Astyanax mexicanus: one gene and its partner. Each later gene encodes a partner of the first gene's protein in a complex. Links are inferred from orthologs where the notes say so. Each region holds a gene or a part of one and is shown in the gene's direction. Other genes may lie near its edges.

What was found. Proteins that work in one complex are often made in the same cells at the same time.
Region 2: the proteins of prim2 (region 1) and prim1 are in contact, whole or in part, in a crystal structure (PDB 5EXR), measured with the Homo sapiens proteins. The link is inferred for Astyanax mexicanus from reciprocal best matches to the Homo sapiens genes PRIM2 and PRIM1. Residues at the interface, in NP_000938.2 of Homo sapiens: Glu165, Ala168, Ser169, Pro171, Ser172, Phe188, Ala189, Leu192, Phe195, Arg196, Gly197, Arg198, Val200, Tyr201, Leu202, Glu203, Asp204, Gly205, Phe206; in NP_000937.1 of Homo sapiens: Lys147, Glu148, Asp149, Phe150, Gly151, Phe152, Ala180, Val181, Gly184, Ile185, Glu187, Tyr188, Ser190, Leu191, Lys193, Lys207, Ile208, His209, Pro210, Ile212, Arg213.

Annotation. Positions count from the first base shown.
Region 1 is NC_064414.1:43,402,669-43,413,903, reverse strand, and holds the start of prim2 (DNA primase large subunit), read left to right. Parts: upstream 1-6,838; 5' UTR 6,839-6,922; intron 6,923-6,958; exon of another isoform or gene 6,959-6,978; intron 6,979-7,930; 5' UTR 7,931-7,939; coding exon 7,940-8,084; intron 8,085-8,178; coding exon 8,179-8,291; intron 8,292-8,604; coding exon 8,605-8,708; intron 8,709-9,392; coding exon 9,393-9,513; intron 9,514-10,193; coding exon 10,194-10,289; intron 10,290-10,914; coding exon 10,915-11,052; intron 11,053-11,235. UniProt on the Homo sapiens protein: Regulatory subunit of the DNA primase complex and component of the DNA polymerase alpha complex (also known as the alpha DNA polymerase-primase complex) which play an essential role in the initiation of DNA synthesis.
Region 2 is NC_064420.1:33,008,805-33,019,498, forward strand, and holds the start of prim1 (DNA primase small subunit), read left to right. Parts: upstream 1-6,363; 5' UTR 6,364-6,489; coding exon 6,490-6,598; intron 6,599-8,257; coding exon 8,258-8,415; intron 8,416-8,514; coding exon 8,515-8,621; intron 8,622-8,720; coding exon 8,721-8,794; intron 8,795-8,953; coding exon 8,954-9,090; intron 9,091-9,948; coding exon 9,949-10,007; intron 10,008-10,430; coding exon 10,431-10,540; intron 10,541-10,694. UniProt on the Homo sapiens protein: Catalytic subunit of the DNA primase complex and component of the DNA polymerase alpha complex (also known as the alpha DNA polymerase-primase complex - primosome/replisome) which play an essential role in the initiation of DNA synthesis.

The DNA of each region.
Region 1 (11,235 bases):
CGTAGACTCTGGAGAGCTGATAAAGAGTCAGAACATATGACCAGACTCAAAGGGCAAATTTCCTCAACCCACTGCAAGGCCAGCACGATAGCCACAAGCTCTGTTGCAAACACTGACAAATTATCAGACAACCTCCTACCAATAGAAACTTGAAAGTCTGGAACAAAGACAGCTGCCGCTGTAATTCCTGATATAGGTTGTTTAGATCCATCTGTGTAAACTTGCAAAACATTAAAATAAGACTGTGCCAAATATCTTCGAACCACAATAGAATACACAGACCTGTCAACATCTGCAGACAGCTGGTCGTGTATAGACAAATCAACAACAGGTTCTGGAAACAGCCAAGGAGGAATTACTGGCCTAGGTACTGTTGTACACAGCGTCAAGTTCCTTAAACCCATACCCTCAGCCTCTCCAGTACCCAGGCATCCAAAACTCCTAGAGATCCCATGCATGTCGTCTACACAGTCATGAATAACCGTAGACATTGGATGACTGCGCTCATGTCCTCTTACATTGACCCAGTAAACAGTGGATAAAGCCAACCTCCGTAACTGCAAGGGCATCTCCCCAGTCTCCACCTGCAAAGATACCACAGGGGACGATTTCACTGCTCCACTGCATAATCTTAATGCCTGAGCTTGAATCAGGTCCAGTTTTTTAAGAGTGTTTGTAGATGCAGACCTATACGCCACACAACCATAATCAAAAACTGATCTCATCAGTGCTCTGTACATATAAAGGAGTGATGATCGGTCAGCCCCCCAGTCACATCCAGATAGGCATTTAAGAACATTAAGAGCACTTTTACATTTGTCCATTATTTTACTGATATGAGTTTTCCATGTCAGTTTAGTGTCCATCCACATACCTAAAAATCTGACTACCTTAACTTCCTCTATCTCCAAATCATATAAGCGTAGACCCAAAGAAGTAGATTTTTTCCGGTTGGAAAAACACATAGCCTGTGTTTTTGACACAGACAGCTTAAAACCCCAATCATTAGCCCAGCACTCCACCCTCATTAATGCCTCCTGCATCTGTTTCAAAACAAAAGGGAGATTTCTACCCCTTTTCCACAGAGCCCCATCATCTGCATAAAGAGATTTTGCAATTCCTGCGCCCACAGATGAAAAAATGTCATTTATCATGACGTTGAACAACAGAGGGCTACAAACGCTACCCTGAGGAGTTCCATTTTCTATGCGATAGACTTTAGACAATGCATTTCCCACCCTTATCTGTATCGCCCTTTCACTCAAAAAATCTAATACCCAATTATACACCCTTCCCCCAATTCCTATCTTACCCAATTTTATCATTAAACCCTCTGTCCACAGCATGTCATAAGCTTTTTCAATGTCTAAAAACACAGCCACCACCACTTCTTTGTACAATTGTGCTTTTCGTACATCTGATTCTAAACATAATACAGGATCCATGGTCATCCTTCCTTGACGAAAGCCACTCTGATAATATGCTAAACTACGTCGGCTCTCAAGATGGAAAGTGAGTCTGTCAGTTACCATACGCTCCATCAACTTGCTCAAATGCGATGTAAGAGAGATGGGCCTATATCCTGTGGGACTAGAGAGGTCCTTGCCAGGTTTGCCAATAGGTACCACTACCGCCAATTTCCATGCCGAGGGAATTTTACCCAGCATCCACAGATTGTTATAAAATTCAAGAATTACAGAAAGGGAAGAGTCTGATAAATGTCTAAACATATCATAACATATGTCATCCTTTCCCGGAGATGTCTGACCAGATTTGTCAATAGCCACCTTTAATTCTCTTAAAGAAAACGCAGAGTCCAAAACACTGCCAAATACTTCTCTCCGACACAATGCCCCAGGATTCTGCAGCCGAATTCTCTTCCTGCACAGTAGCATAGTTTCACTTAAGTTAGCGGAGCTGTGCACTTTGGTAAACTCCTGGGCTAACATCTCTGCCTTTTCAGTGTCAGTAACTGCCTCCTTGCCCCCATCTTGCAACACAGGTATTAGAGTCCCTTTCCTTATTCCTTTCATTTTTTTAATCATGTGCCATACATCCCCCACATGTATGTCAGGCCCGATCATACTACAAAATGACCTCCAGTAGGCTCTCTTTGTTACTTTAACTGTTCTTCGAACTACTGCCTGCGCCCTTCTGTAATCCAGCAAATCACTAAACAGTAAAGTTTTCCGTACCTTTTGGAGTGCTCTATTGCGTATTTTCACTACCTTAGAGCATTCCTCCGTCCACCAAGGAACTGCCTTTTTCTTCTGATGAGGCTTTTTAATCGGAATAGCTTCTTCAGCAGTACTATATAAAATATCACACAATTTTTTATTACATTCATCAACATCTCCAGAAACTGTCAAATTCTGTAGCCTCAGATCACAAAGTTCAGAAAACTTCTCCCAATTTGCTTTATCAAAATTCCACCTTCTCAAAAATTCCCCCCTCATTCTGTTTACCTCCATACCAAAAACACAGACAACAGGAAAATGATCACTACCTATAGACGTAGACTGACATACACCCCAACTGCTCATCCCTGCTAAAGCAGCAGAAGAAAAAGTCAAGTCCAAAACTGACATTGTATTATTTACTATATTCAACCTTGTACCACTACCATCATTTAGACATACAAGACCATTGTCCATCATAAAATCCTCCAACACCTGGCCATTACTATCTGTGAATGAGCTGCCCCACAATGTGTTATGTGCATTAAAATCTCCACACCACACCACTTTACGATATCCCAAACCAGTAATTCTATTTAACATCTCCACAGTGATTTTCTCGCATGGATTATAAAAATTCACCAATGTGAACTTTCCACATTTGCTCCATATCTCCACCATAAGAGATTCGTGATTCCCACTAATAGGGAGAGATCGGAATACTATTCCTTCCTTTAAAAAGATCGCTACACCTCCTCCATTACTATGAGCCCTATCCCTCCGCACCATAGTATATCCACAAAGTGTAAAACTTAAGTGGGGTTTCAGCCACGTTTCCTGTATACAGATCACATCAGGCACCGGTTGACTATGAGCCACATAATGCTTAAACTCCTGTCCATTAGCAATAAGACTCCTAGCATTCCACTGTAAAATCACCAAACCATCACTAGTCATCACCTAGCTGGGAGGAAACTACTTTCCCAGCCAGGCCCTCACTGACTGACTCCCAAGTCAAACCCCTAATATCCAAATAACGTTCTGCAGATCGAACAATGATCTTAATTTTTTCAGTTCTACTACCTGTCTGGGCCGTACAATTAACTACTTCTGCTATAAACATAATGAACTTTGCCTTTTCAACAATCATCATGTCTGGTGTATTAACACTGCGGGCCTGCCGGTTCATAGCTGATCTATCACGGTCTGCTGTCCTTAGAACCTGACTCGGGGGACTCGACTCCATACTTCTTCCCTTTTCCACTTCTTTCAACGCTTCAGCATACGACAACCCCCTTACAGCTCTAACATTCTGGACTTCCATAGCCTTCTTCTTCTGTTCACAGCCCCCATACGCTGCCTTGTGATCTCCTCCGCAATTACAGCACTTAGGCTTAACACCCTCTCCACATTGCCCATATTCGTGTTCACCGCCACAAACCCCACATCTCTTTCGTGACCTACACACAGAGGCTATATGCCCATACCTCTGGCAATTATAGCATCTCACCGGTGGAGGGACATATATCCTCACCGGGAAGCTAATGTATCCCAGAAATACTCTCGCCGGTAAAGAATTTCCTTCGAACTGAATCATTACCGACAAGCTTTCTGACTGTGCTCCATCTCTGAACCCCTTTAATCTGACAGCTTCAATCACATTACCACCAGTCAGGGTTTTCTTAATCTGCTCCATTGTTAAATCAAGTGGAACTCCAGTTATTACTCCTCTCATCCTCGTCCTCTCCCTAAACAAACTTGTCGTAATCTTCCTACCTCCCAAGCTCTTAAGTTTCAAGGCTTTGTCTCGTTGCCGGTCATCCTTACAGGTAATCAGAATCTGCCCCCCCCTCAGAACCTTAGCTCCAGCCAGGTCACCTAAAGCTTTCTTTAACTCAGTAGTCAATCTAATTGGATTTAGCGGAGTCCCAGAGTCAGTATCAAATTTTATAAGCACCAAATACTCCTCCTTCCGACGCTTAACCTGCTCAGCACCATTCTCATTTCCAGCTGATTCTCTATCATCTGACAGACGCCTACCTTTTTTTTTCTGAACAGTTTGCCACGGTCCTCCACCACCCCAATTCCCGCTCCTACTCCCTAACCAGTCCGACTCACTCCCCTCTCCTGCGTCACTTCCGTCCATCTCTCCTCCCTCCAGCCCGCCCAGGAAGTCGTAACCGTCTCTGTCCCTCTCGCGCTCTTCTCAAGCTATATTTTAGCTCCGCCTTAACAAGCTAAACTCTAGCTTCTGATTGGCTACTCCAACTAAAGCTCTAGCTTCTGATTGGCAACTAAATTAATGATTTTTTTTAACCCGTCCTGACCGCTGCACATAAGCACTTATTTACTTCAGTTTTTATAAACGCATATAAAATATGGTTTATTATTAAAAACACTGCTCACTTATTTGGACACTCCACATATTGTTTTTGTGTTGTGAAATGCGCTAAACAATTAAAGCTGTGTAAATGAGCATGATGTATTTATTTCCAAGAACAAAGGACAGAAAAGCTGGTCTGCAAATAAAAATTTAATCCCATTATTAATTTAGTACTACACAATACATCTGTAACATGACAGTATGTTTTGTGAATATTTATAACAAGTTTTTATCTCAATTTAATAACACTCATGTTATCTCTGTTTCACTTTTGCGATTTTATTCACACCAGAAGTAAACAAACAGCGCATTCATCGCGAGATCCTGTGTTGTTCACGTGGGCTGCAGGTGGAGACTGTCCGACCTGACTTCTCCGCTCCTCCACCCCGCCCACCTGCACGCGGCTGCTCTCGCTGACCAGCAAGGCGAGGCGCAGCCGCATCTCGAACAAGCCTAAAATCACCTAGATCACTCTAAACGTGATCACACACACAGCTTATCCAGTCCATGTAGAAAAATGTGGCCAATAGAATTAGACTCTCTGGGTGTGTGTGTGTGTGCGCGTGCGTGCGTGTGTGTGTGTGTGTGTGTGTGTGTGTGAAGCAGTACTATAACAGGCTGTGTGTGTGTGCGTGTGCGTGTGCGTGTGCGTGTGTGTGTACTATAACAGTGCTGGTACAGGGTCGTCTGCCGTATTTGAGCCAGTACACACCTGTGTTCAGATAATCAACAGGTCAGGTGCGTCAGTCCTTCACCAGCACCAAAACGACTGCTCAGTGACACTGATGTAGAACAGTCAGAAAGTGACACTGGGCCAGCTGTGGGCCAGAAGTATTTTTCTGCTTGCGACTCTAAACCAGCAGTGCCGACTTAGAAACGAGTCCGGGCCAAAGTCGCTGGCTATCTGGGAATAAACCACGGTACAATACTCATTCCTGTTACTGGAACTCACTCCTGTTACTAGCACTCATTCCTGTCACTTTTAAAGTATCGGAAATGAGTTTTTAGCATAGAATTATCAAAAACATAAAGAAAGCTAAATGGCGGCCATTAAAACAATGAGCACATTCTACTGATTTTCCCAAAATCTGTATTTTAAATATAAACCATTAAAATCTAATAATTAATTTAGGTAACAGGGCAGTGTTGAGATTAGTCATAGTCCTAGTTACAATAAGATTAAATATACAAAAAAAAAACTAATGAGCGAGCTTAATTAGGTCTTGTTAATATACATATATTAAAACATGGGATGGAATGGGATTTGGAGCCTCTGAAGGATTTTAAGTTTATAGTTAGGGAGTGAGGACAGGTAAAAAATGCTATTTTCTCAGTGTTTCTCAGTTTTTATTAATGTTTTTAATTACATATATTATTTATGCATGTAATTACCTGCGGAATATGCTTTATACGCCAGATGTTTAAATGCCAAAATAAGCCTGAAATGATCTGGTTAAATGATTACTATATATATTTTGCAAATCACCATAAAATCTAATTAATATTAAAAGTATCTGCGTGTTTTCAGTTTATTTATATAAAAGGAAAAACCGCTGCTGTCCTCTAGTGGACAAATATCAAATTGACCAGTAAGAAGGCCAATATACTTTTTTTCTGGTGGGCTTTTCCTGGCCTGATGCTGATGGGGGGCATTTGTTGGCCTGATATTGACTTAAATCTGACCATGTTACATTAGCAAATAGATATAAAAATATAAAATATAAATCCAAAGAAAAGTTACAACGTATAAAATAAAGTGTAAAATAAAATTGGGACAGAAAGTAACACAGAGTTCTGGAACCAAGTTCTGCTTGGTTGGATCTTTCAGCCTTTTCAAGTTCACACGGTTGTTTCTGAAATCATAAAGTTTAGCTTCTGCAATGTCATAAAATTTATTTCAATCCAGAGTTGCATTAATTTTTCACCAAGATCTTGCAGCATTGATGATGGTAGAGTCTTCTCCAGCACATCCTAAAGATTCTGACTAGGTTTAAGGTCTGGACTCTGGTGGTGAACAATCAATGTGTGAAAATGATGATCTCATGCTCCCTAAAGCACTCTTTCACAATTTCAGCCCTGGCATTGTCATCTTGATGGAATAACCTGAGTTAACTTGAGGTAAAGAGTGAACCATTGTCAACACAGTTCTGGTTCCTCTCTCTCTGCTGCACTGCAGGGTTTGAACACATGGCGCCGCTGTTTCATTTCAGTGCAGCGGAGCGGGGCGGCTCGAGCGCTGCTCTGATTGGTGCGTTGTGGCTCTCGCGTCATTTTCGCGCCGTTAGTTCGGATCAGGCTGTTGGCGGGACTCGCGCGACAGGAAGAGACTCGGCGGCGGGCTGTTTGTTATTGTAAAGTAAAGGTAATGTTTTTAACCGTTTTAAAGACTTTAACGGCGCCGCGGGAGCAGTGTTTACTGTGAGGACTATTTTACACTTGGGGAGAAGCGCTAGTAGGCTGTTTAAAGCTGTGTTGTGTAACTGGCGCTTATTGTAGCTCGGATACGGTAACCAGCTAACCTAAGGTTAGCTAGCGGGTAACTCTAACCTAGATAACTAGCTTTAAACTAGCGTTTACTGGTATTATTGGCTGTATAGCTCGGCTAGCCAGCCAGCTAACTAACTAATTAAGTAACTACCAGCTTAGATAGTTAGCTTTGAATGAGTCGCCTGTTTGTGTAGGTTAGCTGATATAAAGAGCTACATTATGTGGTTAAAATATGGGTTAACAGTGACTTCAGGGTGACTTAAGATTTAAGGGCACATTACTACGTTTTTTAAGGCTGAAATTGTGATGTAACAACATATTAAGAGTTTGTTTAGTATAAATGACTTGTAGTTATGTAGTGCATGAGTATAAACTGCGAACAAGCTATTAAAAGTGTACAGTAAAGAGCAAAAATATGCAGAAGAAACAAAATGGACTTCTTTCAATAACATTGCGATATCACGATATGGATTTTTATTTTTATTGAACTGTTTTCTTCCCATATGACACATTCTGACACCATTTCTAGGACAAAATGTTAAAATGTAGGTTATGACATGGTTTAATCATGTTTTAAAGGGTACTGGAGCAACAATTAATTTAACTTGTTTTACATTTTGGGTTAGTATTCAGAGCTGGGTCTGAGGTCTTATGGGATATGCTAAATTTTTAAGAAAGCAGCCAAACATGTGAACTAACAGTTACTTTAAACACACACCTAATACTGTCCAGCTATCTGCCCACACCAGCCTTGATTTTGAAAGAAATTAATGAATAAGGTGTTCATAAAGTGTACAGATACTTTCTAATTGACAGTTACCTAGCAGAAGGCATCAGATGTTAAAACTAGTGAAAATAAAATGGGCTGTTTTTCTTTGCTCAGAAAGAGACCATGCAGTTCTCAGGCAGAAGGAGGAAGCTTGCAGTTCACTCTCAGAATGATCTCTACAGCCACTGTCTGCAGCTGTATGTGCAGCCTCCTCTGGAGAACATATCCCTCAGCGAGTTTGAGACCTTTGCAGTGGAGAGGCTGAAATGTAAGTCGAGACCACAGCTCCTGGTCATCGCTTCTCATTGTCCATGTCCTACATTTGTTTTGTCTAATTATTTTTTTTATTTTCCCATCTAAAGTGTTGAAGACTGTGGAGAACCTTGGTGTCAGCTATGTGAAAACAACGGAGCAGTACACCAAGAAACTTCACGCTGAAATCTCAAACCTTAATTTCCCACACAAAGCAGAAGTGGTAAGGAAATGTTCTATTTTTCACTTTTAGCATTTAGATTTAGCTGATACATAAAGGTTCCTCACACTGTGATTTAAAAGCTATTAAATCTGCTTACAATGGTTGTCTTTTAGACAAGGAAAAAATTGGCTTTGGATAGATTTACTTTTGAGAAATGTTACCTGATATTGTTTGTACTCTGGAGTAGCTTAATCTTTAGGTCTTGCTTTGCTGCAGTGGCAAAATGTTTATATTTGATTTGTTATTCATTTTACTGAACTTGTTACCCTGTTGTAATGGTAGTTGTTTAAAGTTCACTGTTTCTCTATATTAGGATGAGGCAAGTTTTACCAAAAGTCAGGTTGGACCATCTGAATATGAGAAGCGAAGGAAAGACCACATCTCTCATTTTATTCTGCGCCTGGCATATTGCCAAACGTAAGTGTTCCCCTTGTTCCCCCCTTTTTCTTTCTTTCCATAAAGGTACTTGTACTTGGGTCTTAATCTTAATGCTTCATTCAGTATTTCTGTTTCCATCCTATGTTTAACACTTTGGTCATTCTGAATTGCCACTTAAATCATTTGATAGCTGCCACTTCACATGAACTAAGGCAGAGATGTTGAACAACTTAAACACATAAGATATATGCAGAAATAGAAACTAAAATATATAGAAATAAAATATATAATAAATATATATCTTTAAATCACAGTAAAAATAATATAACTGAATTGTAGGGATGCGTAGTGCCCCAAATGTGCCCCCCCCCCCCCCAGGTTTTAAGTTATTTTGCCCTTTTGTGTGACCTTTTCAAAAAATTGTCACAAATTCTATTAATATTATATCTAGATTTTTGTCCTGTCCTTCATCCAATTAAGATAAACTAAGAGGGACAAGAGATTGTAGAGATTGCAATACTATTTGCAATCCCATTGCTATTGCAAAACCATTGCAATACTAAACATATTTTGAATCTAAATGTACGATGTAGTGCACTGTTTTTATAGTGGAGATGTGGACAAATGCATATAAAACCAACACAAATCCAGTTCCTTTATTTTATTTATTTATTTATTTTTTTTTTGAAAAACCGAAAGAAACTAAACTAACCTTTTTTTTAGGGAGGATCTCAGACGGTGGTTTATCCAGCAGGAAATGGACCTTTTTCGCCACCGTTTCAATGACCTCAGCTCCAAGTATAAGACTGAGTTTCTGCATAAAAATAATCTGAAATATGACACGGTAAGCATTTTATTTTGTGCTTGATTGAACAGTTCATCAGGTATTAGCTAATTTTAGGTTTGATTTTGAAAGCTGTGATAATCTTTATTATTTGTTCCTGTGACGAATCTAACCTGATAAACACACTTAATACACAGGCCCTCAGACCTGATTTTAAGAATATTGTGCTGTAAAGAAAAAGCATGTGTGTGTTTGAACAGCAGGTGGAGCTAAATGCTCACTGATGGATAAATGGCACCTGCTGTTTTCATGAGGAGGCTGACTTTATTATGTCTGTAGGGGGTTTTAAATGCCCATAAATATGGTGTATTAAAGCTAAAGCGCTTTAGGGGGGACCATGGAAATACTTTATTATTCTCTTAGTCTATATTTTATTGGCTAAATATCAGAGTTTTTGTAAACTTGGTGAACTAGCAATAATAATATTTCCTCAAAGCTTGGATATCGATATTCTACATGTTAACAATGTGGTCATCCTTTAATTCATGAGGTCCATGAGCAGTCGCTAATTTTACATGTATTTATGGTGCTTATTATGGCAACAACCAATAATCATTTGTTATTGCAATATGTTATAGCATGTGTTCTTCTCGGTCATTTTTTGTGCTTGTACTCTGATGTTTGCTTTCTGTTATGTTGATCTATGTTTGTAAGTTGCTTGCATTCTCTCCCTTTGACAGTTAAGTGCGGATGAAAAGATGAATCTGAAAGATCAGCTCATAAACTCCACTTTTGGTTTTAGTGGAATCACTATTGTGGAGCAGGATTTCTACAAGGTAAGACCAAAATTCAGATTCTTTCCATCTTACAGTAATCAAGCAGTTTAGTCTGTTTCTGAGATACAGAGTTACTGATTTGCTTTAAATGAAAAAAAAATGAAAATACTTGAAATATTTGAAAACATTTGGCTGAAAGATTTCACAGGTTTTCATTTTGACATTTTTCTTACTATTGAAAATATCCCAGTAGACATACCAACAGTACTTTTGTCTCTTAGTGCAGTTCTAATTATGAATTAATTTCAGCAGTGCTAGTCACACATTTATCACAACAGTGTAGTTTTAGTTATACATTTACCTTAGCATTACTAATCAAGTCCCATGTGAATGGAATTTACACAAAAATAAACAACCTTTGGTAGCTTAGCTAATGTTACTATTAAAAACAGTGTTTGTTTAAACTGATACCAAGCATACGTGATTTAATAGAATGTGTAAAAATAAACTTAAACTACTTGTTTGCACACTTTCACTGCCTCTCCCCTGTACCCTTTGCGTTCTATCCAACAGGGTTTTAATACACAACACTTCTGTTTATTATGTAGTATATGTATATGCAATTTAAGCAGAGCCACAATATTGACAAAGACTGCCAATCATTTTATATTGTACATTGATGCAGGTCCCTTTCCAAGATGCCTTGGATTTAATACGGACGAGGAAAGTCTTCCTGAGAGGTGGTTATGCCTACATTCCCCACCAGGATATTGTCACAATTGTTCTGAATGACTTCCGCACAAGACTTTCCAAAGCTCTCGCAGTAAGTTCCTTGTTTTACTGTTCAATATAATCTCTCTTCTGACTTTCTATTCTTTTTGTTTTGTAAAACATGCATATCCTTTTAGAAATTATTTGTTTATATATATATATATATATATATATATATATATATATATATATATATATATATATATATATATATATATATATATATATACACACT
Region 2 (10,694 bases), on another chromosome or scaffold:
GTAGACCAGTATTACTCTTTCCAATATATATTTGACAGCTGGCACAATACATTTAGGCCACAAGGGTTCTCCACTGGAGTCCAGTGCTGGCACACTTAACACCAATCCAGCTGATGTTCTGCCTTTTTTTTGTGTATAGATCTAAGGCTTGTGTTTGGCTCCTCAGCCAATTGCAGTTCAGTCCAAAACGAAGCTGATGGTACAACACAGCGCGTACTTACGTTGATTTGCTGCATTTGTGGAAATATACACAATAACAAAACCCGTAAATTCAATTAGCTGAAGTACGGAGTATTCACTCTATTCAGTAAAGGCCATTACCTTATATCTACTGTAAGCACACTGACCAAATCAAACTAGTTAATTATCAAAAGCACCTATTAGAGACAGATCTTTAGTGAGTGGGGAAAATGTGCTCGTCGTTCCAACTCACAAGTGCTCTCAGTGAGGTCCTCTTTGGGAGTGTGAGGGAGGACTCTTATTGGATGAGAGCCTCTAGGAGCGGAGTGTTCAGGGAAATGGAACAGTAAGCACCACTCTATAAAGGTTCATTCTCCATCCCTCTCTTGAGACATGCGACCCTTTGACTCCTGTATTATACCACTGCATAACTAATACGGTTCATATGCTCTAAAACATATATGAGAAAGAAAATATGAATGAAAAATATTGATCCCTATTTGTAATCATGTGTTAAGACTTTTAGAGCAATATGTGAATGAAATTTTTAAGGTCCTTTTAAGGTCCCCCGGGAAAATTCTGTTGTGTTGTGACTCACTTCCGTTTGTGTTGTGGTTGTATTTGCAGCTCGTTTTTCTATTTGCAACATGTTTTTCTTTTTGCAGCGCGTTTTTCTATTTGCTGCGCCTGTGTTGTAATTTTGATGGATGTGTTTTGTGCTTTTGCAGCGCTTTTCAATTTGCACTGCGCTGGGCTTTCTCGGCCACCGTAACTAGTGTCAAAGGGTCCCAACTGATAACTGGTCACACATGTCTCTCAAAACAAATCAATCAAAAATTGTTAGATTGTTATGCAAAACATGGGAGTGTAGACCAAAAAGAACATTTCATATTTATAAAATCCCTGTTTTTGATCATTTATACATTTTACTAACAAACACACTATTGAATGCTGCTAACTGTGAAATAGACAACATGCACTGATCAGCCATGACATTACTACCACTATATATATGTAGTAAAGTAAAAACATTGATCGTAAACAGTAGTGTTTGTTAAGGGGTGGAAATGTGACAAGGCTCAAAAACAGATAGAACTTGTGGATTTTTTTTCTGTGGGAAGGCAGTGTTTATTACCTTTAACCCTGTCATCAATAACCCAGTTCTCTACTAACTAATGTAAATTTGTATGTACGCATGTCATTTTCATTTTTATAATATTATTAAATTCCAGAGCGTGCTTTATTACATTTGACATAGTTATATTACTATATATCTGACAGTGGGACACCCCTAGTAGTGATACAAGAAACACTAACAGCTCAGTGAAATGAGCACGTAATTTTGCAGCCAGATATATCAAACTGGCATTGTTCATCAGGATAATGCTCACCCACACACAGCAAGGGCTTTACAATAATGCCTCCTCCATATAGCGACACTTCCTTGGCCTGCCCGGTTGCCTCCATATAGCTTAGCGTAATTTTTGCACTATAAGGCGCACTTAAAATCCTTTAATTTTCCCAAAAATCATCAGTTCACCTTATGCATGAAATTTACCAGTCAGGTTGAAAGCAGCAGTAAAGATAATCCGCTAAAGTACAGCGTTATAAAAGAGTTTCAGTTTAGTTCTACAGCAATATTAGCATTAGCTGATTTGGCCGTTCAGAGGTGAGTATTATCGGTTTGTAGCCTGCTGCTAACCCCGGCTAGCACTGCTGAAGCAGCACATTAGCATTAGCGGCTCATCACAGCGCTAGTTCTTTTACCTGTTCAGAGGTGAGTAATGTTATATTAGACTGTAGCCTGCACGTTTACCGTGTTAAAACAGGCAATGTGGGACAAATAAATAAGCAAATATCGCCCTGGCTTATCGGAACACTCAGGGTTCCTCAGTGTAGCGCTGTTGGGTAGCATTAGCTGCTAACCGCTAGTGGTTAGCCGATAATGCTAATGCTTTAGCTTTAGTGGAAATCTGTGAATCTAAGCTTACTGTAAATAAACGGAAGTGTTTAACTCACCCAAATAAACAGTTTTTAAGAGAGAAATCTGTGTAGATTAACAACCAGTGCTCGTTGACTTGTCTCGTCTGAAATTGTTATTTTTTTTAAGAAATACAGTTTTGTTTACTTAACTAAACTTAGCTTTACAGGTCTCGCCACCTGCTGAATTAGCCTTATAATTTAATGCGCCTTATGTATTAAAAGAGACATTTATTATTTATTATAAAAATAGACATTTATTGATAGTGTGGGTTATAATCTGGTGCGCCTTATAGTGCGAAAAATACGACAGTTATTGCCTTCATCAAGCATTTATGGAACCAGATTCATTCCAGCAACCTACCAGTGTGCAGGATCTGTGTGTACAATCTGTGTGTAGTTTAGCCTTAAAGAGATAACCAATGCTATAGAATGATTTTTTTGGAAAGTGAACAGTGTGATAGCTTAAAGGTTATTAAATGTACTAGAGGTCTCGAAACAGACACTGCAGTTAGTCAGATTTTTAACACCACAATTACTTTGTAAAAAGGAGGACAACAGAGAGATCACAGTGTTTGTGAGCATAGTTTACACACAGGTCTCCTCATCAGTGTAGAGCAATGGGAGGGAGGCGATGTGAGAAAAGCTAGCGATGTATGATCCCTATGGAAACGCATGACTCATCTCTCCAAACACACACACCACACACACAGAGTGAGACTTGCTCACAGGGAGTCACAGACATCCCCACTACTGATGCTACTCCAGTGTCTACAACCACTGCACTGCAGGTTGGCAGAAGAAAGAGGAGAAGGCCATAAAAAGGACCAGGAGAGGCTTTTCTTTACTAAACTCTGACCTCTAGTGATTGAAATGCAGAGCTGCACATGAAACAGCAACATTGCTACTGGTTTGTCGTAGTCTCTTTTATTTATACATGGAGCTCAATATATTACTTAAGCCTGATAATCCTTTTTTTTTTTTACAATAGAGATCCTTGTTAAAGAAAAATGCATATAAGTATATTTTCTAAAAGTATATAGTAAAAGTATATTTTAGCATTAAAATGAATACGTACTTAAATACATACTAAATGTACTATTTTGGAAGAACTTACGGCAGCTTCAGTATATTTCAATGGTAATTAAGATATATTAAAATACAATAGGTTGTGCTTTTGAGTGCTTTTTTGTATATATTCTGCGAACGTAAGTAGATTTAAGTATGTCATAATTTTTAATAGACTTGAAGTATATTGTACATGTAATAGGAGCTCTAAAGGTCTGAATAAGCAAATATAGATTACCCACATTACCCATATTACAGATTACCAATTCTGTGGCTAATGCATCTTGTTTGCATTCTCTTCTATACCATGTAGAAGGGACATTTAAATGATAAATATTAATATTAAGATTATTATGTGTGAGAGACACCTTTTAACTAAAAGCAGAAACCCCTCTATCATCAACCTTAAAATATGTAATGCAACCAAAAAATAAATGGGTACCACTTTAAAATAAGACTAGCTTTATAAAGGGTTTATAATTGGTTTACAATAAGTTTATTAATGGTTACAAATTAGGTTGTAAATGCCTTAAAAATAATTAATAATCAGTTATAGCACATACGTAGAAAGGGCAACACTATAGAAGGATGTGGGTTTACTATTTGACAAACAACAGGTCATTGTTGCCCTTTCTACATACAGGGTTTCCGCCACGTTCATTTCAGTGCGGCGGTCCGCCACGCCTTCGTTCTTCCCCGCCACCCTTCGTGAAAATTCGGAGCCCGGCGTTTTTCCCGCGCTTGATCAGCGTTGCCCCTTCGGGGGTGGAAATCGGTAGAGAGAGTGTGAGTATAGGACACAGCGAGAGAGAGAGACTGAAACATAACGCGAGAGAGAGAGAGAGAAGAGAGCGAGAGCGCGCCTGTAAATAGCGAGAGAGAGAGACTGAAACATAATGCGAGAGAGAGAGAGAGAGAGAGAGAGAGAGAGAGACTGAAACATAATGCGAGAGAGAGAGAGAGAGAGAGAGAGAGAGAGAGAGAGAGAGAGAGAGAGAGAGAGAGAGAGAGAGAGACTGAAACATAATGCGCGCGCGCGAGAGAGAGATGAATTAAACAGTGATTAAACAGCTTCAACTTACGCAGGTGTCCACTCAGGCTCACTCACCTGGTGGAGTGAAAATCACGCTATGTTTCTGTTTCTGGAGCTGTCATAAAGCAAGGATGTAGGGCCCTAGAATAGAGGCACCCTAGAACAGCTCTGTGATGCATTTGTTTTCACGGTCCAGTAAACATTTTATTGTAATTAAATTAAAGATTAAAGATATTATTTGTCTGTTTTAATAAGCACAATTTTTAATTAAATTCAATAATATTTTTTATTTTATTTACTCATTCTCACATTTAAAATACCTAATACAGATAAGAGCGAATAAATAATACATATATATTCTGTTGTGCCCTTTCTCCTCTGTTATGTATAATTTAACATTTTGTGTTGCACACTTTTACGTTTACCGTATCTGAAAAAAGAACAATAAGGATTTATTTTAAAGAAACCTACTTTTTGCAACTTTTTGTTTTAAGTGGGCATTTTTCAGTGACAGTTGGAAATAAAGAAAATAACTGGAAACATGTGTAATTGTGTTATATCGTGATATCATTAACGTGATATAAATTATCGGTTCCCAACCGGGGGGTCCTGCCACCGCACCTTCAAGGAAATCCTGGGGGAAACCCTGACATATGTGTTATAACTGATTATTAATGATTTTTTAAAGCATTTACAACCTTATTAGTAACCATTGATAATAATACTAATTGTAAACCCTTTATAAAGGTAGTCTTATTTTAAAGTGGTACCAATAAATGTATATTCACTGTTCTTTGCTACCAGGGTCAAAACTATGTACATGGAAATGTATATGAAGGTTAAAGCATTGAAGAGTTGACCAAGGATTCTCCAATATAATACGAAAGTAATAAATGACTTAATATCATATTTACTAACATGAATTGGTGTAGGCTAAATAACAGTGAATGTGCAAGTGTCCCAATACTTTTGCCAATATAGTGTAGAGAACTTATGTGGAGTGAGTGACAGAAATTAGCATTTCTCTTGCACGTCTTAGGGTCCATAATAAGGTTACAGTGGTGTGCAAAAAAAAAAAAAAAAGTTTGTTGGGTGGTAATTAATAGGGGGGCAGACTGAATGTGTGTGGGCTGTCAGCATTTCTGCCCTGAACCACTGTCCCAGTATGGCCCTGCACAACAAATAATCACAAAAAATCTCACAATTTAATCCAACCATACATTAGAAAATTTGAAAAGACTGAAAGCTTGTTTAAAATACCAAAGTGTGACACTCTCACACATCTTAAGGCATCTCAACATTTATCATCACTCTGTATATATTGAACATCGTCCAGGGTATTTACAAGATCCACTATTTACAAGATTGCAACTAATTTATTGAGGTTATTTCCCCTTCATGCCCGTAGTTGAATGTACAAGGAACTGTGGAGCAAAAACAAATAAAGAAATCTGACAAAACTAAACAGTGGGTAAATCAGCTAATTTATGATTATTTAGAGCTTCTTCTTATCTCTGTGTTGTATTATTTATTTACAAAAAAGGCTCTATTTTACACTAGGTAACCTAGGTAGTTAGCTTAGTTAACCTACCATCTTTTGTAAATTAAGATTAGTACACACACTGCTATTGTCAGGTTACATTAGATATTAAATCATTTATACTAGGGGTGGGCGATACGACCCTAAGATTATATCACAATATTTCAGGGTATTTTTGTGAAAATATATTTGGTGACATGACAAAACACTGACAATGATTAAACTAATTTCAAGAATATGCTACTCTGTAACAAAATAAGAATAAAATAATTTAAGTATTATAGTTTCATAAATAGAAACTAAATAAACTTATGAAGTCTTTGATTTGGTATGAACAAAATAAAAAATATAAATAGCAAAAGCTTTCAAGAACGTTTCAAGAGTTTTTTTTATTGTGTCAGATTTTTTTTACCCAATTAATACTCCTGTTTTATATAGAAATGTTATATGTTCATAGCTTTTATAATAACTGCAGAGAAACTCAGACATGGCTGTTGATGTCAGCCAGGACTCCAGAGGGCAGCAGATCCTCCTGAGCTGAAGCGGTCGGGACTCCGGGCGGGACAGGCGAGGGAGGCGCTTCGTCATTTCCCCGGGTTTCCCGCGCTGCGCTCGGATTCAGGTTTGCAGTGTGTACTACAGATACAGCTAGAGCAGTGACAGCGGCTTTAACATATAAATAATAATAATGTCAAACTCAGACTATGATCCTGCCTGTTTACCTGATCTACTGCCGCTCTATTACCGCCGGCTCTTCCCCTTCTCACAGTATTACCGGTGGCTGAGCTACGGAGGTGGTGAGTACATTAATCTTTATAATTTAATATAATCTCAGTGAGGATCACCAGTAGGATAACTAGTTTACGCAAACTAACCTACTTACTAGATAGAGTAACTGACCGACTGCCTTTCTAAGCCGAATAAGAGTAGTGTCTAGTCCTAAACTAACAACGCTGTAAATATAACATAAACACTCTTTGGCTGCAGCTTAGAGGCAAGAAAGTGAAGTTCAGAAACTAAAAAGCTGCTCCTCTCTTTTAACTTTATAATGTGAACTACTGGCTCATTAAGTCTGTTCTTAATAACCCAGCTTTTTGTTGCAAAACTCTTATCTCGTTGTTCATTGAGCAGTGTAGACAAAGGCTGGGTCCCAAATGTAAAATTGTCTCTCTGTATTTTTATTTTCAGAAAGTGAGAAATGACTGAATTAAAAAAAAAATGTGCAGAGCTTTCAGACCTCAAATAATGCAAAGAAAACAAGTTTTAAGAGTTCAAAAATCAATATTTGGTAGAATAAACCTGTGTTTTTAATCCAAGGTTTCATGCATCTTGGCATGTTCTCCTCCACCAGTCTTACACACTGCTTTTGGATAACATTATGCCACTCCTGGTGCAAAAATTCAAGAAGTTCAGCTTGGTTTGATGGCTTGTGATCATCCATCTTCCACTTGATTATACTTCAGAGGTTTTCAATTCGGTAAAATCAAAGAAACTCACAATTTTAAATGGTCTCCTTCTTTCATTCTTTACTTTGAAACTTTCTAACGTTACTACATTTCAGAGTATTGCTCTGATGGTTGATTGCATCCAGTGACAGCAGCTTTAGTGAGATCAGGATGGTGGATGGTCACCACTCCACCTCATCCCAAAAGTACAGGATGGAGCACCATCATGCCTGGGCACACAGATCTACGACATAGTGCCAATAGGTTTATGTTTATTCGCATCAGACAGGCTTATTCTATTAACAGTCTTTTTTTTTTTTTCATATTAAAGCCAAATTTAAAACCGAGTAAGATAAAATTAGTGAGTATTTGTCTTTTTGTGGGAACATGACAATGTTTTTTTTGGGTTAAATTTTGATGTAACAAAAATGACACAACAGCAATTTCATAACATGTATTTTAACATTTTGTTCTTGAAATCTTATCAGAACTAGTCATATAGAACATAAAAAAAAAAAAATTAAAGCAATTGAATTGTTAAACTTGTTGGAACAGATCAGTAAAAGCAAAACATACACTTTTATAAATAGCTGCTTTTATCTTAAGGACTAACCCAGTACACCTACATTCTGTAAATAAGGTCACTTAAACGAACACAGATTCACACACTGTCCTGTAATGATTCTCTCAGGATGTTTAGTAGATGTCACTTTATGGGACTTCATGATTTAGGACAAAGTTCTGTAATAAACTTTTCACACCTTTTAAAGGGTCTGTGATATGTCACCTTGGGTTCTTTTAGGCCAAAGCAGTTAAATTCATTCAAAGCGGTGTCCACAAAATATTTGGTCATTATTTGTACGTTTGTAATGCTATATTAAGATTCTTTGAATAAGCGTATTTAATAGAAAGAAATATCAAAGAAGTATCATGCTTATCCCATATTACATAACCCGTCTAGCTAATAGTTCATTCTTTATATCTTAACACTGTGAATGTTCTATTCACCAGTGACCAAGAACTACTTCCAGAACCGTGAGTTCTCGTTCACCCTGAAAGATGATATCTATGTTAGATACCAGTCTTTCAGCACACAGAACGAACTGGAGAAAGAGATGCAGAAAATGAACCCCTACAAGATCGACATCGGAGCTGTCTACAGCCACAGGGTGAGGAGACTTAATGATTCTTTCACTATGTGCAATGTCCTGTTGTTAAGCATGTGTAATTATTCTATCTTACTCTCTGTGTGTTTCTGTGACTGACAGCCCAGTCAACACAACACGGTGAAATCTGGAACGTTTCAGGCCCTGGAAAAGGAGCTGGTGTTTGATATTGATATGACTGACTATGATGATGTCAGAAGCTGCTGCAGGTACCTCAGCCTACCTACTATTTTATATGAAAAACCTTTTTCTTTATAACTTTTACTGTGTGTTTATATGGTATTTAATTTATTTACTTTTATTTTCAGTGCTGCAGATATTTGCAGTAAGTGCTGGACACTGATGACCATTGCCATTCGAATTCTAGACCGAGCACTGAGAGGTAAAAGTTGTCTTTTCTTTGTCTTATAGGCTAAACACTACTATCTAATGTACTGCACACATTCTCATACCATACAACAAGTAAAGCAGAACTGTCTCTGTAGTTGTGACGTGGAAAAACAATTCTACACAATGTATATTTTATGTTTTTGTGGATTAGAGGATTTTGGCTTCCAGCACCTCCTCTGGGTGTACTCTGGCAGGAGAGGCGTTCACTGTTGGGTGTGTGATGAAGCTGCCAGGAAGCTCTCAGTTGCTGCTCGTTCCGCTGTGGCAGAGTACCTCAGTTTAGTCAAGGTGAGAAAAAAAAAAAAAAAAAAAAACAATACTTACATCTCAGCATTAAAACCATATCAATTATACATCAATTATAGCATAAACAGTAAGCAGGGTAGTATGTGTTGAATAATACATCCCAAGATGTGTGTTTATAGAATACAGAAACACAAAGGGTCAAAGATTGATCCACACAAACTGCAGTTAAAACATGTACTTGTAATTTGTCAATGATTGTGTAATGTTTACTGTTGCTGTCCAATGAAAAACATGTTTCTCCAAAAAAGCAGATAAAACCATCTTAACTTTTAATGGAAGTCAATGTAAAAATATGTTATGTCAGGGCATTTTAGAGAATTTCTCTTGGTCCAATCATAAAGAAATGTTGACACAATGTAAGGCACAGTTTGTGTGTTCAAATTAAGTAGTAAACTAAAAATTGTCAAAAATTAAGATTAACATGTTTTTCATTGGACAATGACTATATACTAGTTCACATTTTACAGCAGCTTGGGATATGCTAAAAACAAGTAGATTTTAGAACTGTACCAATCCAACATAGTTCTTCTACACAGTTAATACATGTTTGGCTCCACTAAATCTTTAGTTAAACACTTTCAATTTGTTGTAAATAATCAAAATAAATACTTACAAAGTAAATGTTTGCTTGCTGGCACCCACATGACCTTATTACAGTATATTTGCAATATTTTGTCCCTGTTGTTGCTAAATATTAAATTTCTTATCTATTCTAACTTTTCCTGATGGATGTTTAGAAGTAATATTTTTATTAAAGAGGTTTCTTTAGTTCTGGAATTGATAAGGATTTGTTTAAAATGGACATTGTTCCAAAAACTGACTTTGCATGCATATGTTTAGGGTGGCGAGGAGACAGTGAAGAAAGTTGTGCTGTCCGATCCAATTCATCCCTTCATCAGGTAAAGGAAGACTTTCGTTAGAAAGACTGGTTTATTCTAGCAAGGCAATAACCTTATTATATATATACTTTTTGTGCTAGTGCTTTTCTGAATGCCAACACTTACTGGCTATGGATGCCATCAGTGCAAACCATTGAGCACATTTACATTCACAATAATCTATTCATAACATGTATTCTCTTATTCTGATTTCTTTTAGTTTTTCAGTCTGCATATGCATGCAAACATAATCGATTATTTGTTCAAAAAAGCTTTTTTTTTTTTTAGCCTTCTCTACTATTTGCATCATCAGGCAATATTCTGAAATCTTGCGTTAACCAGCGTTTAAAATATCCTTTAAACGTGTTTATACATTTAAATGTACCTAAATAGTCTATTTACTTTTGATTCTGCTTCTAATGTGTATCATTTTCTGTTAAACAGCCAGTCTCTCTCAGTGGTGGAGCATTACTTCCTTCAGTACGCCATTGTGGGACAGGAGCTGCTAAGCAGCAAGGAGGGCGTAGACAAAGTACTCAACCTGCTGCCAGAAGATATCCTTTGTGCTGTGTCTGGAATGGTTCCCTTGCTAACTAGTCTGGTGTTGTAGTACATTGTTCACTATGCTTTGTTTACTGTCAAGTAAACTGACTGTAGAGCAACCTTGAAATATGGGAGAAAATAATACTTCAGAAACCCTAAGGGCTT